Linked DNA regions of Lytechinus pictus. The protein of the gene in region 4 interacts with the protein of the main gene of each other region in a pairwise test. Links are inferred from orthologs where the notes say so. Each region holds a gene or a part of one and is shown on either strand. Other genes may lie near its edges.

What was found.
Region 1: the proteins of cell cycle checkpoint protein RAD1-like (region 4) and calreticulin-like interact in a two-hybrid assay, tested with the Caenorhabditis elegans proteins (2 studies listed by BioGRID). The link is inferred for Lytechinus pictus from reciprocal best matches to the Caenorhabditis elegans genes mrt-2 and crt-1.
Region 2: the proteins of cell cycle checkpoint protein RAD1-like (region 4) and 3-hydroxyanthranilate 3,4-dioxygenase-like interact in a two-hybrid assay, tested with the Caenorhabditis elegans proteins (2 studies listed by BioGRID). The link is inferred for Lytechinus pictus from reciprocal best matches to the Caenorhabditis elegans genes mrt-2 and haao-1.
Region 3: the proteins of cell cycle checkpoint protein RAD1-like (region 4) and T-complex protein 1 subunit alpha-like interact in a two-hybrid assay, tested with the Caenorhabditis elegans proteins (2 studies listed by BioGRID). The link is inferred for Lytechinus pictus from reciprocal best matches to the Caenorhabditis elegans genes mrt-2 and cct-1.

What each region holds. Positions count from the first base shown.
Region 1 is NC_087255.1:31,562,483-31,570,020, reverse strand, and holds the start of calreticulin-like, read right to left. Parts: upstream 3,353-7,538; 5' UTR 3,178-3,352; coding exon 3,093-3,177; intron 1,562-3,092; coding exon 1,457-1,561; intron 1,062-1,456; coding exon 855-1,061; intron 1-854. UniProt on the Caenorhabditis elegans protein: Molecular calcium-binding chaperone promoting folding, oligomeric assembly and quality control in the endoplasmic reticulum (ER) via the calreticulin/calnexin cycle.
Region 2 is NC_087251.1:11,571,086-11,579,618, reverse strand, and holds the start of 3-hydroxyanthranilate 3,4-dioxygenase-like, read right to left. Parts: upstream 3,257-8,533; 5' UTR 3,019-3,256; intron 1-3,018. UniProt on the Caenorhabditis elegans protein: Catalyzes the oxidative ring opening of 3-hydroxyanthranilate to 2-amino-3-carboxymuconate semialdehyde, which spontaneously cyclizes to quinolinate.
Region 3 is NC_087249.1:18,797,352-18,805,593, reverse strand, and holds the start of T-complex protein 1 subunit alpha-like, read left to right. Parts: upstream 1-5,129; 5' UTR 5,130-5,361; coding exon 5,362-5,431; intron 5,432-8,242. Other genes in the region: uncharacterized protein LOC135154109, read right to left, coding at 305-477, 1,508-1,637. UniProt on the Caenorhabditis elegans protein: Molecular chaperone; assists the folding of proteins upon ATP hydrolysis. Known to play a role, in vitro, in the folding of actin and tubulin.
Region 4 is NC_087246.1:3,921,956-3,930,365, forward strand, and holds the start of cell cycle checkpoint protein RAD1-like, read right to left. Parts: upstream 3,457-8,410; 5' UTR 3,350-3,456; coding exon 3,230-3,349; intron 1-3,229. UniProt on the Caenorhabditis elegans protein: May be a component of the 9-1-1 cell-cycle checkpoint response complex that plays a major role in DNA repair. Promotes DNA double strand break-induced cell cycle arrest and apoptosis, thereby playing a role in genome stability.

The DNA.
Region 1 (7,538 bases), on a different chromosome or scaffold from region 4:
ATGCTTGACAAGGATAACCACGCATGCTAACAGATGGTAAGGATGCAGTAATGTTCTCTTATAACTCACTGCACATTAATGAGAACATCTTTGAGGAAAGTCACATTTGTTTCATTTATCTATGCAGTAAAAACAAATTGTGGTTTGAAACATAGTATTATGTGAAGAGTAGGTGCATTGTTCTAAACATTAATTAAGGAATTTTGTGTACTGCTCCATCCTTGAAATGCCCAGTAATTATTTTAGCAGCTGGGGAGTCAAGACATAGTAAAATTTCTGAATTCAACATTATTACCAACCAACTTCAACCAAACAATCTAGAAAATGAACATCATTGAGAATATACATGTGTAGCAGAAGAGGAAATGAGAGATAACCAAGGCCTAACCAACCTCCATCATTTCCACAACACTAACTGGGAATTAAATAATGGAATCCATGAGGAAGAATGAATTGTTCAGAAATAAATGACATTGCTTCTTTTGTCAGTTACCTAATATTTTTCTACAATTTGGTTTGACGCATTGCTTTTACGTTATTTCTCTCTGCGTGTTCCTCATGAACACAAGATTCAAGATTTTAAAAAAAAATTATGGGAAATGGTAAGAATGCTCTGTAGATTTTTTTTCAAAGAATCACAGAAAACATGAAAATATTAGATAACACAGCACAGTCTGATAAAAGCGAAGTCAGATTTCGCTTCCAAGTATGATTCCTGAAAAGTGGAGTTTCCTTCAACTGCACATCAAATTGATAACTGTAATCATCATAGCATACATGTATTTATTGTATTTTTTTTGTTTTTAATAAAAGTGGAGAAAAAAATAAAATGAATCGAAGAGAAATGTCCTTACCAAACATGATGTTGTAGGGAGAATCACCGTGCATATCTTTCTGTTCCAAGTCCGATGCAAAGAGTTTGACGTATCCACCACCACAATCAATCTTCTGCTCGTGCTTTACAGTGAACTGAATGACAAGATCCTTGCCCTCATTGCTGAACTCGTTCTCAAACTTTGCAGAGAGGCCATAGAACTTGGCATCCTGGCTAGTTTGGATACCTGTAAAGTTGAAGTCAAATCAAACAATACAGCATAGGATAAGATTCTTTACTTTTTGAGTGTAAAGTGATCAGGAAATTAGTTTAAAAGGAGGGGAAATATATTTTATAACAGATCTACTTTGTGTAAAATAAATAGATAGGCATGGATGGCAGCATCATATTTAGAAATCTGGAACTAGACACAAATACGTAAAATCAATATCTGACTGGTCCCAGCTAATTCAGTTCCTTCTTGTTACATTTTGTACACTCTGGCTTTTTTAAGGCCTCCCAGACCCTACCTACATTGCATGTTGCTTTCATTAAAATCTATACAATAGAACTGAAGATGTGTCAAGTACATTTTAGTTAAGAAAAGCCGATCTGAAAAAAAGATCAAGACGAAAGTCTTACCCTTATCTTTCTCAGCATCACCGTAGAATTTTCCCGCAGTCCACTTGAACTTGCCAGCATCACTGCCTTTGCTTGTGGATTCAACCCAACGAGACTCCCAATCTTCTGGAAGGTAAGAAACAAAAAAATTGTTTTGCAACTTGCATCAACTAGCAGTCCATGACTAAGCAGTTGGGAGTATAAAATGATCATTTGAAACATAGTATAGTAAGAAAGCACTGTCATCTTGTGAATATTTTTCACCGTATTGCGCAATGGCGTATGCAATGATGAACACTGCTTGCCACTGGCAACAAGAAAAGAGCAAAAACTCGCATCATGCCCAATTTGTAAACACTATTCTCTTACTAATGATAGGAGAACAACAGCAGTTACTGTAGTCTAGCATTTGATCACGGTGTGACTCAATTTCAATATTGTTGTTATAAATCAATATGAAAAGATAAGATTTAAGACCAATGCATTCACAACATATAGATTCCCTATTATACCAATATATTGGACTGAGTGATCTGCCCATTGAAACAGTGCAACTGTTTTCCATGATTAAAGCCAAGATGGTGGCAGAACCATTAAAAAATTTTCCTTGCAGTTCTGAAGTAAAACAAAACTTTTGGTTGAATTGTTAGGATTACAGAAGGTCCAGAATTCTGCCGCATGACTCGTGAAGCGTTCAGAGCTATTTGAGCATATCACTCCAGTTCTCAAGGAATTATACTGGCTGCCTGTTAGGCAAAAACTAAAATACAAAGATCTACTCTTGGTTTTATTAAGCTTCTAACAAACCACATGCCAGTGTATCAATCTTCTGGAGGTGAAGAGATAATGAAGACCTTGTCTTCAGGGAATGTTCACCAACTAAAGAAGTTTGAGTGAAGAGGTCCTTGGGCGACAGAACTGTTTATGTTGCAACCCCTCATTTATGGAATTCACTTCCAGTGAAAATCAAATCTTGCAAGTCACCAGAAGTCAGAACTCTCTTACAACAAATTAATGACTTTTTAATACCTTATGAAGTAAGCGTTTGCTTAACTCATACTGTTGTGGACTTGCTTGTTACTTTGACTTACAACTTGGTTACAGATAACTGATTGTGTAATTTTTCTTGTCAATTTGTTCAATTTCTATGTAGGGGATCTGGAAATTAGGGGATCAAATTTGCGATGCCCAGTTACGTGGTTACAAAATTACGCAACATTATGTAAGTGCATGTCAGACCCAAAATTGCTCAAAAACGTGAATTCATGTACAAATCCAATGCAAATTGTGTACTTAGCCAAAATTCATAAATGTATCACTTTTTCGACTTTTACTGATTATTTAAACTTAATTTTGTCTTGTTTATGATAAAAATTAGGTCTGCAGCAATTTCCATCGAAAAAAAAATTAAAAAAAATTGAAAAACAAAGAAAGACGTGTATAGTCAAAAGTTCATTAAACCCTACTTCAATCATCATTTAACATAGCCATATGATAGATCATTCATCATGATCATCATTCAACAACTTGAACAAGCACCAGTTTGGTTGACCGGGCCAGATCGGGGAGCAAGGAGTGGGATGGGCACCTACCGGTTCCGTAGGCGATAGCCGAACATGCAGGACCTGGCCCCAGGGGCAGGCCAGTAAGAACTTACCGTCGTCGAATCGTTCCTCAAAATATGTATCTGCATTCGTGTATGCAGCAAGCATCAAGCAAAAACATGCCAAAATTATCCTCATCTTGAAGCTATAACTTTAAACAAGTATGGAATACGTGTGCCACTGGGAAAGTACAGACAAAATCTGCACTATTTGATGGTGATTTGCAACCCTACGAGATGTTGTGGTGGTAGACGTACACGTGAAGTCTGCAGCCAAATGTCGAGCTGTGATTGGTCAACTAAGAAGGAGGGTCAAGTATTGGCCAATCACAGCGGACCACGCGGCGACGAACTTCGTGACCCAGATGCGGAAGTTACGAAGTCGTTTCTTCAATCCAATGAAATCGCTACAGCAAAAAATCATTGAGAAAGATGCTGCGTACATGTGGCAAACTTATGAATATAATTTGACAAGATTACTAGTATAGTATCTGCCCTTGTTTTCTTAGAGCAATATATTTGTTAACACTATATTCTACCATAATTATCGTAGTTTCCTTTGTTTTAATATTAATATTAAACATGTATGATAGCACATATTTTTCGGTATAGAGGGGTCTAAATAATGTCATGTTTTATGTAACGTTATTTGTTATGGACTCAAAAATTCGCTGTACTCTGGAGTTTGTTTGTTTTTGTTTTTAGGAGGAGCTTTTTTCAAGAATTTTCTGATTTTTTTTTATTCCTCCTAGTATATATGGAGGGAGTGGATGCCTCGCGGGATGCCTCGAAGCCAGTCTCAGCGAGATATACGCCCTTCTTTTGACCTTTGGACATATTGATTATAGGTGATGAATTTCATCATCTATTATGATATGCCCGTTTTTCAGTAAGGAATGAAGCCAAGAAAACTGATTCACAGATCAGTTGAATAAGCTATTTACTATAGAGAAAAATTGCCTTCTGAAAAAATGCCCGATTTGTGATTATGCTTCACTTCGCATGCACACAAACCCATGCATGCAAGCAGAAGGGATGCATATTTGGACAAAACAACAACTTTAGGAGTGCTGTTACCCGAAGACATGGGTGTCGATCCCATGGGGATAGAGGGTTATATAATAAAAATTATTATAATAATGATAATGATAATAATAGGCCTAATAATAAAATAACAATAGTATCATGATGATTGCTGCAGGGACTTGGGAACGATTTTTTCAGTGGGGGTGCTGAAATCTCTCCTCAAAGGTGAGGGGGGGGCAGACACAATTGAGTTTTCCATAATTACACACACATATATACATATATATATATATATATATATATATATATGTATATATATACATAAATATGACAGTCACTTCTTAGCTTTCTTCTTATAAAAGAACATAAATATATAATTAGACAATTTGAGCGCGACGCGCGAGCTATTTTTTGTGGAAATTTCATGTATTTTGTCCTGAAAATTGAACATTTTGAGCAATGTTTGTGGTCCAAGATGCGTATGTAACAAATAATCATTGTGAGCGCGATCAGCGCGAACAGATATTTTTTATATACGCTCTGGCCTGATCGAAAGGGACGTGTTATGGACTGTTTTGCAGTTACCCATGAAGACGCGTACATATATCAACAATCAAATAATGCGAGCGCGAAGTGCGAGCTTGAAAATTTGACATTCTGACCTAAATACTGGACATTCTAAGCACGTTTTGTAAATACGAACAGGTGATAGGTATATAACTATACAATTGATGCGAGCGCGAAGCGCGAGCGGAAACAAAATTGAGATTTCAGCCAAAAAAAACCGAGAGATTTGAAGCACTTTTCTAATCATAATGAGGATAGGTATAAAACTATACAATTGATGCGAGCGCGAAGCGCAAGCGGAAATAAAAAATTTGGGGGTGCTTCACCCCCAGCACCCCCACTTCGAAAAAGAAAACAGAAAAAGACTGAAATTTGATTTTTATTGTCTGACTTGCAATTTGTGTATACAATACACGGGCGGTCGGGCGCGCGCTCACTTGATTCGACATAAAACCTGGAAGTTTCAAGTCCAACCACCCCCATGTCCCTCCCTGCTATTGAAGAGTGTGTATGGTTATCACGTATTGCGCGCGACCACGTCTGTATCGGAGTGCTGCCCCGCTGGAGCTTGATTGAGTCGCGTTATAAGAGGGATGTTATTGGAATATGTGAAAGACTATATGTAAATGATTTGCGATTGTCGGATGTGATAATTATGTAGATTAAAACATATTTAAAAAAATACAGGGGGGAACCCGGTTTCGTGGGGGTGCTGCCTATGGAAAATAATACACGCAGGTGACGCAGCACCCCATGCACCCCCGCTTCCCAGGTCCCTGGATGGTTGGCACTTTACGCATGGTGATCATTGATGGTCGTTTTTTTTTTTTCTTCATTATTTTATGTTTACTGCTACGTATAAATTAAACCATTCCTTACGGAAACTAGATAAGTTGAGAAAGAACCAAATTCCAGGAGAAATCGAAAAAAAATGGCATTCTCTTTTTACTCCTCCCCGAAAGCGCATGGAATGTGCCCCTTTTAATTTTAACACCCGTTTGAATGTCCGACTTATTTTTGTTTTAAGTTTTCTTTCTTCGGGTTCATAATGTAAAATAAATGGAGTACATACAAAAGTAATGAGAATTTAAATTTAAAGGGAATTAAAGGGAAATGAAAACCGATACGAGTCATCAAAATGGTTAATTTTCTGGCAATTTTATCCAACTAAAATTAACTTCAGCTCACGCTTCGCGCTCGTCGAAGCTAACATAGCCTACTAAAAAAACACCATCGGTCTGATTAAGGACTAACCCCCCCCCCCCTGATGCACTGAGACGTGGGGCTTATAGAGCCTTGTACCCACTGACCAGTAGCGTACCGTGACTCGGAGGAGACAAAGCATTGGGGGGGGCAAAGCATTGTTCACAGACAATGCACTGCCCCCCCAATGCTTTGTCTCCTGCGGTTCACGGTACGCTACTGCCACTGACCAACCAAGAAAGAATAGAAAATGAAAAAAAAGTCCCATATAGTATAAACCTGTATGTCAAAATCTATCACAGATTTCTTTTGTATATATAAAAGTCAAAATTGTTCCTCTCTCACTCACTCACTCGCAGCTTTTTGGGAATAAATTTTACCTTTTATGCCATTTCTGGAACCCGTCAAATTTTGGGGCCATGGCCAAAAAAGTTTCACAACCAAGAAAGAAGGAGAAAATACTTAAAGATGGGAAAATAAAAGGGTGAATGACACATCTATCACAAAATTTGATTTTGTATCCAAAAGGTCAACATTTTTGCTCGTAGACAGGCTTTTAAAAAAATCTGCCCTTTTAATCATTACGCCATGTCTGGTCCCCAAAAATATTAGACGCCTAAAGCCAAAGACAGTTAAGACACCCCCCTCTTAAACTAAAAGGGGAAAAATCCCTTATAGAGTCCTGTGATAAAAAAACAATATTTATGTCAGTCCTTCCCAACTTGAACACCAATCGACACCCATAGCCCCTGGCAGGTTGATTAAATATCCTGTACTTTTGACTTTTTAAAGGCATAATTACAGTTTACTATATTATTATTGCTTATTCAGAAAGTTTATGTAAAAAAAAGCAAGTTTGGACATTTGAAGAAAAAAAATGCTATTTTCAAAAAAATTATTGCATTTTTTAATTGAATTGATTTTTTTATTGTTTGTATATTATGTACATGTTATTGTGAATAAAGATCAAGAGGATAAAAGAAAAAAGGGCATTATTATTATTATAGTCATGTAACTATAATAATCCCAATTATTGTCCCAATGTACATTTTTCTATGCTTTGTATGTTCAATGTTGTCACGTATTCATTGCAAATATCACTATACTCTCATACCCATAGAATATGTCTTTATGGAGTTTTATCTTATATCTTACCATATTCATTGAAATGATCCCCGTTGTTCATCATCATCATCATCATCATCATTATCATCATCATCATCATCATCAAGATTATATTACATGTATGAAGAGTGGAAAAATTGACAATATCCATGATATTGGTGATGATGATAATGGTGGTGGTGGTGGTGCATGGTGGCGGTGCATGATGATGATGGTTGTAGAGTGGTGTTGGTGGTTATGATAGTGGTGATGCTGGGTGGATGTGGTGGTGGTGGCGGCGATGGTGGTGATGAAGATGATGATTGAATTGAATTGCATTGAATTTGATTTTTTAAATACCAAATCTCACTGTCAGGTACAATTACTTGGAACATCACATATGAACAAAACATTTGGTAATTGGAGATAACATATTAATATCAAGATGCTAATCGAGGTTAGCCCCAAATAATGTCATTATCATAGTTCAAGTAATAATTTTAACTAAATCACAACATTGTACATCAAATTTAGTACGAATCCTACTTTTTACTGATAATATACAATTTCGATCATTTTAGTGAACATATTTACGCAATG
Region 2 (8,533 bases), on a different chromosome or scaffold from region 4:
TCCGCATACAAAATTTTTGTGAGCCTGAGATTAATCTACTTTTAAAAATCATTAATGATTTTTATTCTGTTTTCCTTATCCCTTTCACAGCTCTGTACTAATCTGTACAAAGTACATGTACTTCTCAACCCTTTTTGTCATACTCTCTGACAGTGAAATATGTAAAGAAGACATTGAAAATGATATATTTACAAGTGCCCACAGTAAAATGTACCGTGATGTGATCCATTCACAAGAATGAGAGTTTACATTTATGAGTCTTAATTTTCAATACCCATACTAAGACAAATTACCTCTATGTAATTACATGTGTAGATGAAGAAGAATATAAAATATATCATTCAAACTTGTATATATTAATTATTCCATCTGAATAAAGTGGAAAAACTAGTCTGTATTGTTTTGAAGTTTGAAATTTGGTACATTAGCACCTTCTTTCATATATCATGATGGTATACATCATACCCACAGATTTAACCAAGATATGCACATTGAGTGAAATAACTATAGGCCTATGCATGTTACAGTAATTTCCCAACAATGAAATGTCTATTTGTAGCCTTAAAAATAATGAACTATCTCAAACTTTCGTATGATACGTGTACATGTATTCATATCACATAGATCTACTGAGTATTACATCAATCCCATGTGTACAATGCATGCACACAGCTGATAACACGTGCAAAACGTAAACAACGTTGCACTGTTGTTCGGCGCGGCGAGATTGACAAGTAACTCATGCATATTTATGAAGCACTCGTCCGTTGACCTTTGACCTCTGACGTCACCGCAGAGCAACTGGTCTAGACGATTTTTCCTCGGAGTACAGGTTCTCGGTTTTGCGCGCACACTCGGCTGGGCGTACGCACGGAATAGAACATATTATATCGTGGTGCAAATAGATTCGTTTAAAATCGTCTAGAACTAGACTATATGAATTCTGAAAGAAGAGCTACCGCGACAGAACTTCGTTTTTTTTTAGGTTCCAGTCTGTGCCTCGATGTCAGGATACTGCCCACTTGTTCACTGCAACCATCCTGCCTGTGGGGAATCTACAGGTAGGACTAGGGTTAGACAGGAATAACCGTCGTTTCCGGGGATTTATTCAACAATTTCTGACATTTTACTGTAGTCCCCATTCACCGACGGTAGTGTGTTAGTGCGAGCCTGCATTTTAATTTTTTTTAGATTCTAAATGACATTATATTATCTTGAACGAAGGCCCACTATTTTCGTTAGACTTTAATCTTTCTTTTGATACTATGTAAATTCAACAAAAATGTCGAAAATATACGTTACCGATGAGTTATTCCCCCGTTATTCCTTTTTTTTAAATTTTCTGCCGGAAAGGAAAAAATGGCAGCCGTGCATTGTTGTCCTTTACGTTCAACGAGTTGTGCTTTTATCAAGGCTTTCCGATTAAATTTTCTATATCCTGGCCAATCAATGCGATCAAGGCACATCTACAAGCGCAAAGCAGCGGCACAAATCTCGATATATAGCGACTGGTAAATACGTCTGTAAGGATGATGACGTCGTCCAAGATGGCAACTTACGTTGACCAACGAAAGGATCGAAGATGACGATGTTTCGATCATCATTTTAAAGGAATTAGCGGTAACTGCGGTCTAAGGTACAATATTTCTGAATTTTAAACATTTTTTCGTAAATATGGATGTGATTTCTTTTTCATAATGTGACATTTTATGTACAAAAAACGATCGGAATATCGGGTTTTCGCCGAATGCTAGAGTAAGTTAGAACTAACGTTACTGCTAATACGTTGTCTGTACGTACGGGCCTCCAAGCTCTTCAGTCTATGTATTGGCGATTGAGCCAACGCAGTTCAGCGGAACAACCAAAATACAGAGACTAAAGCTTTTGGTCTAGACAGACTATGGTATGCCAATGTTGTACAGAGCACACGCTTTAAAAAATCATTAAAATATCACTTTTGTAACCAAAATTACTAATTTTCATACAGTTGCAATTTATTTTTCATTAGTAACTTGGGAATAATTTTTGTATTCACCAGAGCGCTCAAAAACTTGATTTTTGGGCATATTTTTGTGTACGCCCTCTATTGGTGGAAAGTAATATGGCAAGAAAATTGTCATTTTTTTATCTCTATTTTTAATTAAGAAAATAATAATTTAAAGAATCAAATTTACTTAAGAGCCAAGTTGTATGACGAATAGGTGTAATGGAAACTGTCAGTGTAAAAAAAATGAAGCATTTGTCCCAAAGAAAAAGTGAAAATAAGCCAAACATTGCCACCCTTTTTTGCCACACAAAAGTCACAAGATTATAATATAAATATACTATACTATAGGCCCTAACATATAACTGAGAACAAGTCAAGGTTATATCTAACCCAGGGATCTCCCGCCCGCTGTGCGGGCGGGAGCCCAGGGGCTTACCGTGTATTTGACCATACTCACGGGACTAGCGTGATTTATGGTCTAAATATTTCTCCAAGTCCAAATGAATTGTGAAAACAGAAATTATGCACTTACTACGATTATATGGATGAAGGTCTAACGAGTGGCAGTTTCCTGACATCGAGGCACAGACTGGAACCTCAAAAAAACGAAAAGTTCTCTCCTTCTACCCCAGTCTAAATCGGCAATTTTTGTTATGAATCATATCAATTATCATAACAAAATGGCCGATCGAGACTGGGGTCGGGACTGGGGTAGAGGAGAGAACTTTAAGTTTTCGTTTTTTTGAGGTTCCAGTCTGTGCCCAGATGTCAGGAAACTGCCACTCGTTAGACCTTCATCCATATAATCGTGGTTATTGTATACTTTCTGTTTTCACAATTCATTTGGAGAAATATTTAGACCATAAATCACCCTAGTCCGGTGACTATGCCTATGGTCAAATACACGGTAAGCTCCTGGGCTCCCGCCCGCTGCGCGGGCGGGAGCTCCCTGGGTTTAATAACCGTACCGTACCGGTAGCCGGTAGGGGCTTGCCCTCATTTTTGCAGACCGATTGAGCCTATTCACTTACATCATCTTGTTGCACACAGGTGGGAGAAAAAACTTCTTATTCTCTTCGATCCATTTGTCTATTTCTATGATCTCAATTTGATTCACAGACATCGTTATTATTTATCTTTCCTTTCCAGCTCAATAAGTAAGAGAGAACACGGTCGTGATCATGTATCTGTGTGATGCATAGAGATGTATACTAACTACGCTAGAGTGCGGAGTCGCCATAGGCGCGCGTACTTAACGTCTGTGATTGTGTGGAGCGTGGCGGCCATTGCTCGATAGGTATAGATTCGCAAAAGTACCCGGATGTACCCATAGCTCGTGCGTTGTAACGCTGTGAAAAGGGGTGCCGTCTCCGGCCTTTATCTTGAAGAAAAGAATACAACCTCATAAAAATCGAAAATATGAATGACAAATTGCATCTCAATACACTATTAGAGTGATTACATGGGGATTATGCTATTAATTTGGCATTTTAAAAACCTGATTTCTCGGGATGAAATTCTAAATAATTTGCATTTACCTGTCCGTTTATAGGCCTGTAATAGATAACAATGTTGATATACTATCATATAAACAATCATATAAAAATAAAAACATACAGCGGACATTAATAGAAAGATTGACAATTAATTCAAAAGACTGCAGTGAATTAGCCCTTCTCTGGATTTCCCTACCTTTAACTGCATCGTCCTCCTTCCATCCTTCCCACATATACGTCCTTTGATTCTATGTTTATGTTGGATATAATTTTGTAATTTCTATATAGGCCTACATGATATGTAACTTGCTTCAATTTGTATGAAATATAGGCCTATCATTTTTATATATTAAGTTGTACAATAATTCTGTATAAGTTAGTGTTTTGATCTACATGCGCTATTAAAGGGCATCTCATTATTGTTCTTGGTGAGCCTCCCGTTACACCATCAATGTTGAAATTCGTGTTATTTGGTGAACGTGCTGATTTTGTTCTTATAGGAACATAATAAATTCCCCAAAATCTGCAGGCCTATATGGCCCGAAAATAAAATATTGATTTAAAATGTCGAGAATATAGCCTAATTTGTTCAAACTTTTCAAAAATGACAGTTTTAATTCCCTTCACTTTAAGTTAGATTTGTTTTAATTCGCTTTTTAGGGGCCGTGTGTGCAATTAAAATAACAAACACACCTAAGCAAATTCGCTTTAACATACTGATCAAAATAAAATACAGGGGGCGCGACCGGACCCCTCCCTGAAATGAAAATGAACATTACACATAATAAATGATTGTGATTTTATACACCCCATCACTTTCAAAATCATTCCGCGACGCCGTAACATAATATAATAATTTTGTTCATCCATGGAAATCTTATTTAAAAAAAAACTGATCGAATAACCAAACTCAGGTCCATAGGCCAGCAAATGACATTAAAGGAAGAAAACTAGAAAATCAAATTCAGTTATACTTTTAAAATGAAAAACAAAACTGGATATTCAAAACGCGTGTTTATCTGTTTATATGTTAGGCCGGTGCCAGTGCTTACAAATATTTGCCATAAAGTTCATTTATTCAAGCGACACAGACACAGTTAATTAACACAATTTCAAGGCAGGTATCAAATTTGAGATTAAATTAGGATCTTTAATATCTTATTCCAAGTATTGTCACTTTTGCAATATTATTGTTTCATAATTATGTTTGGTTTTAGTACTCACAATTTTGCAACCGTTTTCATAATTATGATAAGTTTGCATTGATGTCTTTCATGATATTAGTTTTATACACTCTTGCAGTAGTAATAATATTCTTTATAGTATAATACAAATTATATATCATAATCCCGCCCCTTTTCTTCTCTCCTTCTCCCCCTTCTTCCTCTCCTTATTATTCTATCCTTGATTTGTTCACATGATATTGGTCCAATCATTATAGGATCAGAAACAACGGCGATAAACAAAATATTTCAGCCAGTTTGCCGATCAGCATATTTTCAGCCGGGGAGAATCAAGTCTATACTTTCCAGAAAATCAAAGTAAAATTGTTTTGCGCATTGTGATTTGTTTACTCTCCGAAGTTTTAAAATGTTTGCAAGGCAATAACACTGTACATAAACATCCAACCCCCCATTAGGCCTCCTGTACATTGCAAAATTGTACGACTGCATGCGCGCATTTGATATGCAAATTTTGCTGTCAACAAACTTTTCTATACATTGATCGCAAGTAAGAAAGTATACTTTTATATACATATTTATAAATATGATGGGATGGTTGCCAGCAAAGGAAATCTAAATCATCAATTTTTAACTGAATCAATGCGTAAATCATTTCCAAATATCAATAAAAAGTCATTTTATGATTCGCGAGTTTTTGTGATGTTGGTTTACATCAGCGTGTAAGACATGGGGAAAAGGGATCGAGTTATTATAGGCCCTATTGTGTAGATATATATATGGAAAATGAATTATAACAATTATCTAAAGTGAAGAAATAAATTATCAGCAATCAGCATAATAGTAATTAGGAAACTATGAACTATAAAAATACAATCGTGGTTTTTTTTTCGATACAGCGTCTCAGATGCATCAGACACTGTGATATGGCCTATGAATTTTCTTAGGTTAATGTACATCAAATCATATTAAAACACATTAAATTTATATATCAGGACCTAGGCCTAAATGTTATTTTTGATATTCATCTCTTCCAAATCATTAGAAAATAGAAGTCATATTAATGTATCGAAATTTTACCTAAGCAAAAACAATTGGGACTTTAAATCGTTTGCCTGTATTATAGCTGTATCGGCCTATATTATGCGCTATAGATAGGCCTATATAGGCCTTTTGACCTCAGTTTTGCTAGATTTTTGTTGTATTTGAACTTTAATCCAGTGCAATATTTACAATTTTGCTTTTCCATATGCTTTCGTGCTCATATGTCATCAATTTGTCATGTTCTGTGCTCATCCGTGTACATGCCCCATAGGTACTGTACGCGCATGGCAGGCTGCGAATACCTATCGAGCAATGGCGGACGGTCTCCACGTAATCACAGCGATTTGACGAAGTACGCCCTCTAGCGTTACTAGTATACATCTCTATGGTGTGATGCGACAAATTGATCTAGCTTAGCTAGCGATATCGATAGCGTACCCTGTCTAGCTAGCTAGCGACCAACAGCGAGATCGAACGGAGGAAGTTAACGAATGAAAAAAAAAAGTCTATCGTGATTTGAAAATAGCAAATCATAAATGGTTTCATTTATACTCATAGTATATCCTAGACCAAAAGCTTCGGTCTCTGTTATGTTGGTCGTTCCGCTAAACTCCGTTGGCTCCACTCAGAGAAATGAAAAAAAATAAAATGTTAAAAAACTCCTCGAAACAGACGGCTGCCAGCTGTCTAAGTATAAACATGAGGTTGATATTGGGAAGAGTTTCTTTTAAAATGGCAATTACATTTAGTAGTGACTTTCTTGTTTTATTGATTTGGATTAAGATATAGCCTGTATCTATGCACTTTTCACCGAAACCCAAAACAATGGCACTATACAGTATTACTTAGTACCAGGATATTATGATAAGGGCAACAACCTATAAACATTTATGTATTTTTCTTGACTAATAGCTAGGGAACTTGATTCTTGGAGAAATCCATGAAGATGTCCATGAAAATATTCACATGTACGATCAGGGCAGGACCGTCGCTAAAAAGGGGGTGAGGACCGGGGGCGACACCCCCCCCCCCCACTAATTTAATAATAATGTGGCTTATAAAGCACCAAATCCACTCTGTAGAGTGCTCAAGGCGCATAAAGAGCTAATATTTAAATAAAAAAGTTTTTAGAAGATTTTTGAAAGCTTCGACAGAGGTACATTTTTTAGTGTCTTCAGGAAGGCTATTCCACAAAAGCAAATGATCTTTCCCCCCAAGTTTTTGAAACTTTTGGAATGACAAGGAAGCCAGAAGTGGATGAGCGCAAAGACCTGCTTGGTCTGTAGTAATTGATAAATGAAAGACTGTGTTGTGCTGATCCAAGAATACTATGAAAAGCAAGCAACAAAATCTTAAAGATAATCCGATTTTTAATAGGGAGCCAGTGCAGCGAATACAAGATGGGATTGATATGAGAGCGTTTACTTGACAAAGTGGCGAGCAGCTGCATTCTGAAGCTTATATAACTGAGCCTGCGGTAAATTAAACAAAAGGACATTACAGAAATCAAGGCATGTACTATCTTTTCGGTCGCGGACTATTTGGATATCGTCGGGAAAAATGAAAAAAAAAGGAGCGACTAAAGGGGAAAAAAGAAGGGAGAAAGAGGAAAGGAAAAGGGAAAAAGAGAAAAAAAAGGGGAAAAGGAAGGAAGGAACGAAGGAAGGAAAGAAAGAAAGAAAGAAAGATTTTTTTCGCATTGTGATCGTGGGGAGCTCGCTGTATAGGCTACCAATACTGATTAGAAAGTCTCGGTTTAAGATCTACATCTCAAAAATTCAGCTCGCGCTTCGCCCTCGCATCATATATTTATTAAAATTTTGCTGAAAATGTTGTTTAAAATTCCCTCAGAATATCAAATAATTTCCGCTCGCGCTTCGCGCTCGCATTAAGATACACAGATTGTTTAATTGAATATGCATATCTTAGATTGTTCTTTATATTAAAAAAACGTGTGAAAAAGTTAAGTTTTCAAGTCAAAACATCAATAGTTCTCAACTCGCCCTTCTGTACCGACAGTGATAAGAATGTCCCGGTTTAAAGTCTAAATATTTAAAAAAATCAGCTCGCGCTTCGCGCTCGCATCATATTTTTAGTGAAAATGTTACCTAAATTTCCCTCAGAATATCGAAAATTTCCACTCGTGCTTCGCGCTCGCATTGAGATACACAGCTTGTTCAATTGCATATGCGGAAGTTAAGTTTGTTCTTATAAAAATTGTGAAAAAGTTCAGTTTTCAGGTCAAAGTATCAAGAGTTGTCATTTCATACTTCGGTACCGACAGGGAACCATTCTCCTTCATGTTGGACAGTGCTTAAAATGTTCCCTTTCGAGATGGTAAATCGGAATTTCAGCTCGCGCTTCGCGCTCGCATTATGTTTATTGAGATACACATCTTGTTCAATTACAGATGCAGAAACTGAGTTTGTTTCAAATTAAATCAACCTGTACAAAAATGGAAAATATTTAGTTTTCAAGTCAAAATATCCCAAAATTTTCAACTTGCGCTTCGCACTGGCATTGTGTTTAATGAGATGCACATGTTGTTCAATTACCGATGCAGAAACCGAGTTTGTTTTGATATAGAATCATGTAAAAACGTTTAGTTTTCAAGTCAAATATAAAAATTTAAAAAATAGCTCGCGCTTCGCGCTCGGATTAATGTTTATTGAGATACACAGCTTGTTCGATTACAGATGCAGAAACTGAGTTTGTTTTAATGTAAAAACATATAAAAATATTTAGTTTTCACGTGAAAATATGCAAAATTTTCAGCTCGCGCTTCGCGTTCGCATCATTCAGTGATACCCTTCCTTTTCATGATT
Region 3 (8,242 bases), on a different chromosome or scaffold from region 4:
AATTTGGAGCATATTACCCATTAATTGAGCAAAAATAGATCCTCTTGCCCCGCGCCTCTCTTATCAATGTACCCTGGCTCCACCCCTGTAAACCGATAAATGCTCATTTTCCCAAACTAGAAATACATCACCATGATTTCGGAAACACAGTCCCAGAATTACTACTCAGAAAATCCATGTTTTCCCCGCTTTTATAGTATTGTTTATGAATCACAATAATTTAGTTATTTCCAATTCGAATGGCGGGTCCAGAACGAAAAAGTGTCAGGTGGGCTTTCGTAGAGAAAATATACCCTGAACCTACATTTGCTCTGTCGATGATATCTTGCCTTTCGTCCACTCTCGGTTGTCCACTTGCATCGAGAGTCGTTAGTGTTTTGTTGGTGTAGAACTTATCATGGACAAAGTCCACAGCAGAGAAGATACGATGCTTGCCCCCCACAGGCTTCCCTCCCATCATGATGTCTTCAACACCAACTGAGGAAAAAAAAATCAAATAAGTCGAGTAAGGAATAATCCGCAGGGAGTAGGGAATGTACATCGACTACGTGTTATTATTTTTCATTCCTCAGATGTACTTGTTATTACACCACCCCCCCCACAGAAAATTCCGATGTTTTGCCAAAATGAAGATGGTTATCATATTAAAACAATATATTTCGTAGCGAAGCAGAGGAAAAGTGACAGCTATACATTATATCGCCGAGAAAGTGATACTCGCCACATTCCCTGATGAATCCAAGTGATCAGCAGCTTGCTTTATAAATTATATTCCTCATCGGAATTAGCTATATTTTAGATAAAATATAGTCCACCGTGTAGAACGAGTAGTATACTTTCATTTTGGGCTTCGGCTTACCCCAGGTAGTGTTTCACAAAGAAACTTACAATCGATTGTAAGCTAAGGTCTATTTACAATCAAGCACAGGTATTTTGATTAATTGCAATTTTGCAGTTTGCCCTATAGAAGCACGCCAAGTGTGCTTCTTGGATCAAGTTGTTTTAGTTAAAACCAATCTATCACTTTTGAATTTACAAATTAAATTCGCAATTGATTGCATAAAGTCGCACTTAAACTTTGTGAAACATCCCTATAGGGATAAAGTCCGTTGCAATTCTCGGGGTAATAACTTTTTTTAATCAAAGGTGGAATAACCTGGGAGATCAGCTAACAGCAGAACATCGCTTAGTGTTTGATGGCCAATCAATCACGTCAGGGGCCGCGGAACCGGGGGGCTGGGGGGGGGGGGGGGGCTTCAGCCCCCCACTTTTTTCCAAAACCGTGTACAATAATGTGAAAATGACCATATGATTGTGATTTTTAGCATGGTCAGCCCTCCACTTTGAAAACCGTTCCGCGGCCCCTGCACGTGATTTCACTTTCCATCAATCGGACATCAACATTTTTAGTATGTGAAATATTATAGAAAGTACTTATCTTTGAACTAGTTACAAAACATACTATAACACATAGAAATATATAAAGCTAGGCAATGTTTTATCTCACCTTGAGTGGACCTGTATTCATGCGGTAAGCAATATTTGGTAGGATCGGGTGTGCCATCGTTCCCAGTTACATGAGCAAAGAGCATGAGGAAAATAGTTATTGCCAGAGACATATTGGTGCTCCGGATCATTGTGGACGATTAAAAAAATATATATTCTTCAAGTGAGACAATTATCAACACAGATGTTCTGCTGTTGATGGTAAAGCAATGTCTAAGCAGGGCAGATATATTCACCCAAATGATATGTCTGTTACGCTCAATCCAAACATGTGAAATTGAGAGGTCGTGGCGCCACGGTGCCTGTGTGCGTGCGTGAGGGTGGAGGCATGGGGACGACCGCCCCTGTATTTTTCTAGGGAAAAAAGGGAGGAAAAGGAGAAGAATTTCTTTTTAAATGGTTGGGGCCGATAAGAATGAGAGGTCTGAGCCGTGTAACTATATATTACCATGATTACGTCTGTTAAAATATGACGCCATTTATAGATCGTCTTACTCCTTGTACAAACCATCCTGGCGCCGCCCCTGGTGAACTTATTCAATATTTGCTGTCACACTATTCTTCCCTGTTGTTATGGATGGTTGATTAATTATATAGAGATGAGCATTCACCATAAGACACGGATCGGTTGATAAGCAAATAAAAACAACCATTTGAAAAAAATTTTATAGTTCACCATAATAATGACTAATAACATGAATAATGACTATTATATATCGCCAAGATATTTTGGCGCCTTCCACGGTGATGGAAAGGGAGCCGTGGACGGTGGAGGGGTTGGTATGGTGGCCGGGGGACACACACACTCACACACACACGCTCACTCACCCCCACACACACAAAATCGTCCAACTGAATTACGGCCACCATGAATATGTCCTATCCTTTTTTATGGATACTGAAATATGGGGGTACATGCCCGTCGGAACGAATTTTGAATTGGTACTTTATGATTTTGTTCGGAACCCTGGTAACAATGTACATAACAACCCTCCATGGCGAGGTATAAACATGCAAAAGGGCTAGGCCTATAATCACTTACGGCATTCTCCCAAACGTCCCATCTGCCCACGGTCAGTTATACTGCGGACACACAAAATGGTACTTTCTTATTATGTCAAAATGTGCATTTGGGTGCAAACTATGCCAAGTGCAAAGAGATAAAAATAAGTTTGTGTCTGAAGTAGTTTTGTGTTTCGTATACTAGTGGCCTATAAGTTGAGCAAAACCATTTTAAATAGCTGTTTGATTGTTTGGAAGACTTGGGAAATTTTAAGTTGTAAAACTCGCTATGTGGTACCGTATATATTCTGGCGATGATTACGAACTAAATTATGTTTGTTAAATAAAAAAGTGACTGCAGGAAAACCTAGCTCCTTACGAAAGATATTTTTTATCACTTAACGAGAACTTTAAAAAATAGAATACATAAACCTTGGAGTTTGTTAGCTCCATGCATAATTCAATTCAATTCAATTCAATTTATTTTTCATTCTCCAACATAATACAAATAAGTACAAGATAAATTGATTCAATTTAAATAAAAGCATGAACAAAATTCAACATTGAATAAATGATATACATATTCAATAATTGATTCAAATATAAATTAACGTGCATGTCAAGTTTAAATCAATATAATCAATATAATTAAATATAATTATATCAATATAATTATATATCATGAGAAGAATGGAGGGGTCCACTGAAAAGCAAAGCTTGTAGAATGTGGACCTCTCAAAAAGTTAGATACAAAGAATATTGAAATATACGTAAAGGAATACATGAAGATAACAAAATATGTGCAGGGGCTGGTTCAATTTTTGTCAAATGGTGGCCAGACGGAATTTTTAGGCAATCCACATTTTCCAAGATCGGCAGCTATTAAAAAATAATTTTGTTATTGATTTTTAGGGGCATATGAGGATGGAAGTTTTAAGTAGACCTAAGCTCATAATATATCTCATCATAATGCCTACATAATTGCATGCGCGAAGCGCGAGCTCAAACTGTTGATTATTCAGTTCAGTTCAACTTTATTCAATTCCAATATTAAAAACATTTAACAACACTGTTGGATAAAAAATGCAATTCAAGATAAAATAAAGTAGTTCAATGGTATGTACATACATATTGAATAGAAAAAGTATTGAAATTAGGTATAGCTGTAAAAAACCATAAAGGTCTTGCCAAGACAGCTCCCTTAATAACATAAGATTTGATCAATTAATAAAAGCGGATAACAAATTCAGTAAATATTCAGTAAATAAAAATGAATTGCGTCTTGCACCGGTACCAAGACAAACCCAGTACAAACATACATGTAAAGGGTAGAAGAGAATGAAAAGCAGAGGGGGGGGGGGGGGGATTGAGAGTGGAAAGAAGACAAAAATCATTTAAAATTCATCGAGAGTCACGTTTGATCAAGTTATTACCTTGAATTTAGACCGAAATTAATCATTCTGAGGAGTTTTGTATTCATGAACAAGATGTGTATTTTACTAAAGTTTTTTTTCTTCATATACTGACCTAGCTGAAAAGGGACCTGTAAATGCTTGCAGTTACTAATGTATATGATACATATATCACAAATAAAAACATGCGAGTGTATAGCGCGAGTGGTGAATATTTTTTACATTCCGTCCGGTAATGACTCTAAGCACTTTCAGGATCCATGTGTATCACGCTAACGGGAGCCACAAACTCATATTTCCTGATTAACTTTTATAAGTTCTTTCACCAACTGCGGGAAAAGGTTGCTTATATGCCCCCTACAAGGTAATATTTGTGTAACAAGATACACAACAATTTTTAAGTAGAAATTAATACGCCTAAATTATTTCCCTTGGTGTCCGAATAAAATTATTCCTGTACCTGGAACAATATCTTGTTTAAGAGAGAAATTAAATGAGTTAATGTAGTTTTCATAGGTGGATCCGGGTTGGGGCCGAAGTAGACACCCCCCCCCCCATTGACAACGCGATACCGAAAAAGAAAGAAAAAATAATAATTAAGGGGAGTGTGAAGAAATACAAGAGAGAAAGGTTGTGTCATGTGTATGAAATGATGATGATAATAATGATGAAGATGATAATAACAACAACAATAATAATAATAATAATAATAATAACAACAATAATAATGATAATGAAATAATAACCATAATTGTAAAATAAACAAGTAAAAATAAATTTATTCTTATATTTTAAGGATTTAACAAAGAATTAACTTGCCACCTCAGTAACAAAATCCTACTTTTGAATTCAAAACACAAATTTATGTATTTTTTTAAAAACTTTTCACACTGACTCACAGTTCTTCTCAATCATTACAGTATTATAGAAAATTCTAGTAGGTCTACAAAGACTGATCATTCAAAGATACAAAAGTCTAGCTGTTTCCCATGTAGTACTGAAGAGGTTCAAATGAGTTCGGCACTCTCGGCTTTAACTTGATAATTATCATAAATTAAGTTAATAAAACACCTGAAATATTTCTCATATAGTATTAATCAAATAATCTTATGACGATGATGACTGGCAAGTCATAAAAAGGGTAAATTAATCACCATTTTACGCTGACCTAGTAATACGCTTTTGAAAGAGCACTTCTTTGATATCAGTATCATTTATAGTACGTTGCTCATGTGCTATAAACCGCCATCAACGACCAATTATTAATACAGAAGCATGCTCGCGATCGCTTGAGCATAATTTTCTCTATGGGAAATTGTACAGCAGATCGATCCCATCTAATCGAAATTGTGCATGGAAACGAACCCGGTAACGTTGGATCTACTGCCGAAGTACAGTAATTTTTTCGTCGTTTAATTAATGGTAATATAAAGCTTATATCATGTCTACCCTAAAACAGTTGACTGTCAGTGGGGAGAGGACATCGGGAGATACAGTGAGGACACAAAATGGTGAGTTTTATGTAATTAATCAGTGAGTATCAAGACGAGTCGAGACGAAAAGATTGACATTTTGTAAGAAATTGTAATTTTGTATGAATGGTGGTGCCAAAAAGTCTGCGCACATTACTTACATGACCTAACGTTATTTCGTTAGGCCTAACAATTTGAGGTCATATTTAACATGAATTTCTTTTAATTTCACAAAATCTTTCAGATAATAAAGAGTTCCTTAAATTATTATGAGTAAGTCAGTGTACCAAATTGATCATAAAGCATGTAAAGATTTGAAAGAAATAGGATTTTCTTGGAGTTGGATGAAACCTCGGCATGCTCGGGCACTCATTTTCAGATTGAAAAAAAAAATGGTAGACTATACTTAGTAAAACTTAGACAGCTGGCAGCCATCGGCAGGGCTCGAAATTGGTGGCGGCGCGGTCTGGGGGCCATTGACCGCCTAACGTTAAAGCTCCGTCGGGCACCCTAAAAGTCAGGTAATACTAATAGTGCCCGGGCTTAGCAGGGGGCCTGTTGCATGAAAGGGTCTTTCGTAGAACCATTCTACGTAAGAACGAGATATCGCTCAACTGTTTCACAAAGTTTCACGAAGCCGATTTGGGCGATACGAAGAATGGTCCTTGGAAAGACACCTCCAGACATGTCCTACGTAGGCATGATCTTCTTTGCACACCGCCCGCCACTGTCGGCATTAAGAGAAAATGCGTTTACGGCAAGCAGGGTTGGCGCGTTTTAAACGGTGTGTTTTAAAACGCGTTTTTTTTTCCAGGCAGCCTCTCATATTTTTCATTTTAGTCTCATACAATCAGACACTTGATTTTGTTTACTCCATTCAAACCCTATTTCTACCTCAACAGATAATATATTAACGCGTAATTTGCAAAATCATCATTATATATATGTATTCAATAAAAAATCAGTATATTGAACTAATAAAATGTCGAAATTACTTAGTTAACTCAATTTTTATGTCAGACAAGGGTCTCTTTCGTTGAAATATCAATGAAAGGTGTCTCTAAAAGGTCACCATGTTCTAAATAAGGGACATAATGAAAATTTCGATTTTATCCAGTTATGTTTGTGAATCTTGAAAGTTTTTAAATTTATCTTTTTACCTCATAAAGTACGCTCCATAGATCAATTCTACAATCAGTAATAAATAAAACATTATTTGATCCCCTTTTATTGAAATATATGATTTTATGAAAAGTCGTCATTCCGAAATAAAAGGTTCAGGTGACGATGAAGACTAAATATTTTTCCGATACTATCGATATCAAACGATGTCGTGGACTTGAAAGACAAAATTGCCTTCGTGAAATGGAAAGCGCTGATTTGTCGCCAATCTTCCTATCTCGGAAGAATGGTCCTAGGACATTCTTACGTATCGCTCATCTCGTCATGCAACAGGCCCAGGGAGGCTTCTGGGGAGTAAAAGTCATCTATGATCTACTATTAACTATACGTAGGCTTACTCCTATGAAGCCTGGCATGGCAAAGCATCATGAGCATAGGCCCACACGAAGGAGAGTATTTGGAGACAACAATGTTGCTCCAAAATACTTGATTTGTTTAACTTGCTTATCACACAATTTCGTAAATGGAAAAGAAGTTCATTTCCCCCCATTAGGCACTCATAACGTTTTTTTTCTCAAGAATAATTATACAAATATTAAGAAAAATCATGTAAGAAGATGAGCAGATACTCACCGATGATCTTGACGCCATATTTCCGTCTTTGTTCGTAGCCTAGTTACAAGACGCGTATAAGAGAGGGCGACGATATGAGCAGTGCCAATTAAAAAAAAAAAAAAATTCAATTGGCCGATGAATATCGTGAATTGTAAAATACTTGCATTAGCCCATAAATATTTATTGGCTAATTCAAGTATTTTACAATTCATGATATTCATCGGCTGATTTAAGTTTTTTTTTTTTCATTGATCGGCCTATTGAACTTGAAATAAAAGTTAAGTCCTTTCATTATAGTATCAAATTCATCGTGTGGTGAGCTTGTTGTGTATAATTTGGTGATTGAGGACACATTTTGTGATGTTGGGAAATGGACATCGACAATCATGATCACTTGTTTATGTTTTGCCTCATCCAAGTACATTTAGTATTGGGGGTAAAAAAAGGAAAAAAATAGTTTACATATGTGACGGACCAAATCATGACAACAAGTCTTGGTTTGATAATATTTTATCACACTTTATTCACTTTATGGAGTGAGTGCACTTCAACTTTTCCGTGGCAACGACTGTTAACTTGATGTGATGTTTTGACAATAAATTTATCATAACCATGATCATGCTTTTATTTCAGGAAATTTCATTGACACTTGTTCATTTTAAAACGTACCTCTAACTTTAAGTCTAAAAATGAACAAGTGTCAAGTAAACAAAGGTGTGAAAAGGATCATGAGTAATTTTTTAAATCTCCTTTGAAACAAAGGCTTGAGTTTGTCCTTTTTAATCCACAGAAAGGTTCCACCAGTAATGTAGTGTTTCGCAGCAAACTTACACATACAGAGTTGATACACTTTACAATTTGTCATGATACAATATGCATGTGATGACCACCTAAACTGCCATTTGACCACCTAAAGTTCAGTCCAGGGTACCCGGCTGACTTCCAAAAATTAAAGTTAATTGAGAGGCCTGCATCTGCTTCGAGTTTTTTAACATTAAAAAAAATGTTCTCCTTGTACATACATGTAGCCTGGAGGCTCCTGGAGAGTAAAAATCAGTCTACTATACGTAGGCTTACTCCCCATGAAGCCTGGAATTGCTTCCCATACAGCTA
Region 4 (8,410 bases):
ACATATTACATCGTGTTTAGATAAGAGAGTTTATGTTAGGGATATATATCGATCTAAGTAAGGCATTTGACACTTTAAATCATAAAATCATGTATGGCGTGCGGGGAATACCGCACGACTGGTTTGTTAATTATTTTTCTAATCGAAAAACAGTTTACAAGCTTTAAAGGAGTTAAATCTGAAACCATGCCTGTGACCTGTGGAATTGCACAAGGAAGCATAATTGGTCCCTTGCTCTTCCTAAATATATGTAAATGATACATTAATACTTCAAAAATATTACATTTCATTCTATATGCAGATGAAACTAACATATTTATTTCAATTTCTGATAAAACACAACTTCAAAATTATGCAAACACTGAATTAAAAAAGGTTTCTACTTGGTTCAAAGCAAATAAACTTTTTCTTAACACTGATAAGACCAAATACATGTTTTTTCTGTACTAATCACAGTTATCGATCTCAGTTAAATTTTTCAATAAAACTAGACAATGATGCAATAGACAGGGTAAATACTATAAACTTTTTAGGCGTACAGATAGATGACAAGCTCTCTTGGGTTAACCATATAGATAACATCCATGGAAAAGTTAGTATGTGCATTGGTATGTTATCTAAATTACATAATATGCTTCCACTTAAAGGTCAAGTCCACCTCGGAAAAATGTTGATTTGAATCAATAGACAAAAATCAAACAAGCACAATGCTGAAAATTTCATCAAAATCGGATGTAAAATAAGAAAGTTATGACATTTCAAAGTTTCGCTTATTTTTCACAAAATAGTTATATGAACGAGTCAGTTACATCCAAATGAGAGAGTTGATGATGTCACTGACTCACTACATGTATTTCTTGTTTTTTATTGTTTGAATTATACAATATTTCAATTTTTACGAATTTGACAATTAGGACCTCCTTGCCCTGAACCACAAAATGTTAAAATAATGGAATTCCACGTGTTCAGGGAGAAATGAAACTTCAATTCACATGACAGCGACGAGAAAATCAAAATATTTCATATAATGAAATACAAAAGAAATAGTGAGTGATGTCATCAGTTCCCTCATTTGCATACCGACCGAGATGTGCATATAACTGTTTTGTGAAATGAAGCAAAACTTTAAAATTTCAAAACTTTCTTATTTTACATCCGATTTTGATGAAATTTTCAGTGTTATGCTTGTTGGATTTTTTTTAAATTCAAATCAAGTATTTGTTGGGGTGGACTTGTCCTTTAAAACCCTCTTTGTATAATGCCATTGTCTTGCCCAATTTGGATTATTGCAGTCTTGTCTGGGGAGGAGCCAGCTCATGTCATTTAAGCAGATTGATTGTACTTCAAAAGAAAGCAATTCGTCTATGTTCTAACACGCATTATCTTGCCCATACTCCACCTCTATTTAAAAAATTCAACACTGCCAATTTGACTGATACTATAAAAATAAAGGCAGCACTCTTTATGTTTCGATATATGAATAACATGTTACCAGCTATATTAAATGAATATTTTCTTACAGTTGATAAAAACATTGTTAATACAAGACAGAGAAAGAATATATTTGTGCCATATTCACACTTAAAACTACTACAGACGAACTCTATTAAACACAAAGGGGCTCAATTTTGGAATAGTCTTGACCCACTACTTAAAAGAATGACCACCGTTACCTCATTTAAAGCTAAAATTAAACAGCCTCTTCTTGCCACTTACAAGTGATTCCTTTAAATTGAACCAAAACTAAACAAACAGTTATATGATATATTTTGTTTTGTCATGTATTGTAAATATTGTAACTTGTTTCATGTATTATTTCAATTGCTATTTCCTATGAATTTTATTCCTACTGTAATTTATTTGCTGTATTTGTGTCACTGTTACATGTATTTATCTGTCATAGATCCCCCTGCTTTTCAAGCCTCTGGCTTTCCTAGGGTGTTTGATCCTCACATTTTACAATGTATATATCTACTCATGTGATTTTTACCTAATAAATAAATTGAATTGAATCTATAAATTGTTCTTCAAAACGGCATTTTGTAACATAGCTAATCGAAGGTACGTTATAACGAAGCGGTTCAAGGGTCAGACCTGTGGGCCAGTCAAATATATTGCTGTACACACGCGTGAACAAAAAAACGTGTTTAAGGTGTATTTTTCAGTTTTGGACGAGGGCCGCGCGTGCACTCGTTTGAGGGTATCAAAAACACAGATTTTCAAGAAAAAGGGTGGTTTTGAAAGACTGGTCAATGGTCAATCGCGGGGTCAAATGTTTTTTCCCCAAAACTTTTTTTTTTAAGACTAGCCAAATGTGTTTAGGGTATGTTTTTTTCCCAAGCTTTTTCCCCGTGGTCATATTTTGGCGACAACTTGTTTAGGGGGTTATTTTGCACACAGAGAAAAAGTCGTTTAGGGGGTGTTTGGAAATTCCTTGGTCACGCGTGTGTATGGCAAGTTCCCCCAAGTCTGCGCAGTCCCCCTTGTCTGCGCACACGCGTATCTGCACGATTCCAGTAAAAGAAGATATGCAACGAGCACGAACTTTACACATGCAATACATAGACAGGTATTCATTAAAAAATCTGACTCAAAATGGTGGAAAAATAATGAATTTAGGCCTTTTTTTTTATTAGGGCATTTTATGTGACGGTCTCAAAATGCAGCCTTTCTCATCAAAATCCCCGAATCGTGTGCAAAGTGAATGAGTGCGCAGACATGGGGTAATATTTTTTTGCAATCTGAAAATGACTGACCAAGGTTTTTCTCAAGAAAATCCTATATTTTCTTTCATTTTTTAATGAGAAATTTGGTACACTTACTCTTGATAATATAAGGAACATTATTAACTGAAAGATTTTGTAAAATAAGAAGAAATTCATGTTAAATCTTAACTCAAAGACTTGGGGCCCACCATCATTCAACAATATATTTAACTGCCCCCCCCCCCCCCCCCCCCCCGGACCTTCTTAAAAGATGGATTTCCTAGGCTAGGGAAATCCATCTTTGTTTACAACTACAAGTGTCTCTTTACATATATGACAGGCGGTTCAAGGCTCAAAGATGAAGAAGTATATGTCAAAATGTTAAAAAATATCATCATGGTCCATGATGATATTTTTTAACATTTTGACATATGGAGTCCTCAACTTAGGCTACCTCCCCCAAGTTAATCTACAGTCCCACCTATTCGATTCTGGGCAGTCTCTGGCCACTAGACAGTAATTACCTCTCGATCTTTGAAGTGAATAGCTTTCAGAACCATGGCCACATTCCTTGCATTATCTACTCTCAATGATAGCACATGCTGCCCGTCTTCTTCACTTTGTTGGGTTGATATTAAGGACATTGCCAATCATATGCTGGAAGTATTAAGTGCAGGCCGAATCAATACTGTAAGTCTGTTATCTTTTGCAAAAATCAAGTTTACCGCGGGTCTGCTGCCCTCTTGTGCTTATATTGCATGATTTTTTTTTCACCGATTCAGAGAGCTCAGCTCCGAGTCCGCTGCCGATACCAAAAAAAATATTATTTTACTTTATCTAAGACTATTTTTATATTTATATAAAGTTGCCAAAGCAAACAAGCAAAAATAAATAAGTGAATAAATAATTACACCTATGACTGCATGACACTTACCAAATCATCAATGTCGTTGAATTAATTTTGGTTAGGATAGGTCTGCAGATTCAATTTCACTGAGTTGGACATATTTTCTACGTCGCATATCAATCACACCTGTAATATGATCAAATTTTCAGGATAGGCAGTTAACTTCCCCCCCCCCCCAAAAAAAATCCTTTTAGTAAGTTTTATTTCCACTTTTATTGAAGCAATAAATTGATTTTATTTCTTAACATATGCCATAAACATATTGTCCCTAAGCATATTCTTTCAGCACAGGGCCATCAACCCCATCAACCAGTCAGATAAACAGTAGACGTGTTGATATTGAACGTTCATGCCAAATCGCTTGTTTTCCCCCTTTTTTTCTCTCTGGAATGGCATGGGCCTTACCAAAGTTGCCTATTATTTCAAACAACCTTCTATTTTAGACTCGGTTTTAAGACCCTATAACTACCGAACTACTGAGTGAGTCAGAATAAAATTTTATACCTTTAAAAGTCCTTTATCGTAAACACATAGGCCCTATATATGCCAGGAAAGAGTATTTCTTCCTAAATATTTTGAAACGTTTTTATGTGATACATGCTTACACCTGGATAGACGGTCAGGAAGTATTTTGACGTGGGGTAAAATTTGATCTGTGGCAAAGTGAAAGCAATGAATGAATATAAAGTGTCAAGCTATAATCATATAAGAGATAAGAAAAAAATAGTTTGAAATTATCTTTTTCCCCCTTTTCACTGTTTAATTTTAACAAACACTTTTGGCATCTCTCTCTATACTTATGTCATCTTATTATTTTGCAAAAAGTTTACTTAACTCGTGCACGATTATCACATCAGATTCTGGATTCATTCATTTCATTCATGCTATACCTCGGCACAAATCAAATTTCACATCACAGCGAAGAAAATTATCCCAACATAATCATTTACCGCATAAAAGAAATCAAATTTTCAGAGGGAAGATCTGGGAGGGGGCGGGCAGTCAAATGTGTTGCTGTACACATGCGTGACCAAATTATTTTCAAACACCTCCTATAACAAGTTTTTCTTGGTGGGCATGGGACCCTAAACTTTATCCTGATCTTATTTAATGTTTATGAACATCTATTTTTTCCCTCAATGCAGAGGTCAGAGGGTAGTCCGTACGTAGCTGTAGAAAAAGAAAACAAAAAAAATTGTTGTTTAGTATCGACATAACGATGATTAGACCAAATGGTAATTAGACCAGGGGCCTGCAATATAAAAGAAAAACACAATCAATCTCAAACATGATTGACATCAATCATAAATCTATGGTAAACCATGTACTAAATTCTAAGAGTTACAATTTGATTGTATCTCTTCATATAACAGGCACCTAAGGGATATTAGACCAAATGACAATTAAACCAAGGACTTATTAGACTAAATGATGGTAGACCAAATGAGGTTAAACTGGGCAATGGATCAAAATCAATGTGTACACCACATCGGTATAAGACAAATTTGATTTTAAACCATTTGATGGTTTGACAAAATGGCAATTAGACCAAATGATTAACACCAAATGGTTATTAGACGAGATTCCATGTAGGCAATATCTAAAAACAAAATGATAACACCAAAGACCCCCACCCATCAATGCCAATAAAGGATGAACAAAAAAATGGAATTTTATATGAAAGTGAAATTTTATTAGGAATGTTCACATTGATTATTTTACATTGAAATAAAAGTAAAAGCCTTCAATAAACTATTTTAAAAATAACAATTGCAATTCAGTAGCTCAGAAACCACTAATTCCCATTGTGTAAATACATTTACACACAAACAGTGCTATAAATTTTGAATACTTATTGTATTCAATACAATTACATAGAACATGACAATTAAAAACATAGTGTAAAAAACAAAATCAACAGAAGTCACCATATTCATATTTATATACTATACTGACATCCCAAAATATACAAAGACAATCTCAATATGAACCTCACATAAATTATGAATGAAATGTATTGACTCGCCTGGAGCTTTCGATTTCTGAGTGTTTTCTTTTTTATTCCTAAGACTTTTGATTCATGTCCACTTGACTGAATTCCAACAGACTGAATGCAATAAGTACATGTAAGCACATATTCATGTCTGCTCCAGTGTCATGCCGTTACAGTATCATATCTTGTTTGATTGAATTGCTGTTTAGCTTTGGTTGGTGTATAATCTCTGATACTCTTGAGAAAGGAAGTAATCAGAGCCCGGGGGGGGGGGGGGGGGGGGGGGGCCACTTACATTGACGAGTGGATACCATGCGCGACCAAAAAAAACACGTAAAAAGGATGTCTTTTTTAATGATAGGGCACGTTAAGTACGTAACGTGATAAGGGTGTCAAAAACACAAAAATAATGAAAAAAGGGTATCTATTTCGCTAGGAAAGCTACGTGTTTAGGGTCAAATTTGCGGGGATGCTAAAAATATTTGAATGTTTTATAAAGGATGTCTTTTGTGCCCCAACATTACGTGTTTAGAGTCTGATTTGCACGAGGTGTGGAAGGTGGGGCCGTACTAAACCAAATGGTGTGTAAAGGTAAACCGATGACCGACGGACCCGTGACATAATAAAATATCGCTGTACTTTTTTAGGGGTTCATTTCAGGGAATACTTGCCAAGAGTATCGTTTTGTTTCCAATGCTTGTTAAGGGTAGGGTTTCAGACGCCAATACTCGTTAAGGGGTGCATTTTCAGAATATGGAAAATACGTGTTTAGGGTGCTTTTCGAGACCCCATGGTCGCGCATTGTATCCACTCGTCAATGGAAGTGGCCCCCCCGGGAATCAGAGGGAAATTGGTTAAAAAAAATCAGCTTTACTGGTCTTCGGTCTCGTTGACCTCTGGTCAATAGGTTAGACCACTGATGATCCATTGGTTAAATGCTAAAACATACATATATAAATGAACATAGGGTGCAGTGATGAAAAGCCTATCATCATAGCTGCTAGCAGCTGAACGAACAAGATGTGGAACTCGGGATAGGTACAGCATTTCCAGTAATGATATAAAAATTGCATTAAAAATACTCGAAAGTAGCAACACAAACTATAACACCCGTACAAAACTCATTTGAGGACAATTAACATGGCACAATGTTGAAATAAATGGTTATCATTATTCCTTTTGAAGCTGTGCTCCAAGAATTTGAAATCATTCTACAGATCACCTCTGTCTTCAGCATTTTGCATACATGAAAAAGGTGAGCCATAAACTACGCTTACACATAACATTAATAATCACAAAATAAATGTTATGTCATATCGTAAAATGTGCCATCCACATAACTATGGATAAAATTACCCTGGTTTAAGCACTAGTGTCCTTATATAGTGATACAAATTTTTATCAATATTCTGAAACATATCCAGAATAATTTGTTATAATAAAGATAACAATGCTAATAGCTATATTTATCAGGAAATATGCAAAGGTCAGCAGCTTGCAATGGTCTACTAGTACTATAAGGGTAGAATTGAATATCAGGAAGTGAGATGAAATGTATGTGTTGCTACTAGACCTGGTTCAGAACCAATTTTCAAACTGATTCAGCTAGTTCAGGATTTTAATAGAGCAAATATGAGCTCTCAAAGCGATCCAGAACATGAACATTTACCCAGAGATCATACACAAGAAATGCTTTTATATTGAAGGGGGAGATTAACATGTACAGTTCTGAATTACAAGAGTACCTAAGCAATGTGTTTCCATAGCAACATAGCTAAAGGTGTACCTCGTAAGGGTTCCATCTGGTCACTCTAGGAAAGTGACTAAACAAAGTATGTATTAAGTATGCCTTACAAGAGGTAATTAAAGCATTGACATAGCAACACATTTGATTCATGGCATAATCCATAAAATACATTATAGACCTATTTACTAATATTCTATTACACTAAGGTTTTCATTGTCAACTCTGAAGATTGCCCATCATAGCAACAAGTAATGTTTGCACACTGGATTCCTAGTATTCTGTTTTTCTGAAGGAAACACTTTAATATCAAGAAATGTTTTGAACCGAAAGTTTTGAGAGATGACTCATTTGTTGTGAGGTAAAATGATTTGGAACTGCATATATTCTGTTTTCATTGAAAGGACAAGTCAACTTATTTCAGGAATAGTGTATTGTACCCGAGAGGGTAGGAAATAGATCTTATTTTCAGGGGCCATTTTTTTCCACATTGGGGGCAATTTGCAGAATTTTGGGGGCTATTTCTTTCATTTGAATGGCTTTTTTAAGGGTAAAAAGTAATTGTGCAGTAAAAGCAAATGATTATTCTTCTGCCATTTAGAATAATGATTTTTCAAATAGTCTTAAATATTGTTTGGAACAGATATTGAGGCGACTCTAGAAAGAATAGTCGCCCCAAAGCATGCATTTGATTTGGGCTGTCATGAGGGCGAAAACCCCCTCGCCCTCATATTTCCTATGCTAAAATTTGTACCCCTTTATATTATGGTGTAAAGGGTAGACAAAGAAAAATCATTTGTAGCTGCTGTGTATTTATAATAATATTTTTCCTGGTACAGGTATTGTCTAAACTTCCTACCTATCAGTTTCCACATGTTTATGATTTGCTTGTTATGTTTCTGATTCTTGCCCAACCTCTTTGGTTTTGATTTCCTGTTGTGCATTGCAGCAGTAGCAATGTGTAGATATGGTATCTTTTGTGTTGATTGAATAGAAAAATCACGAACAAAGAAAAATGACTTAAACTTTATCCAAAACTAGGTATATTCAGAAGATCTGAA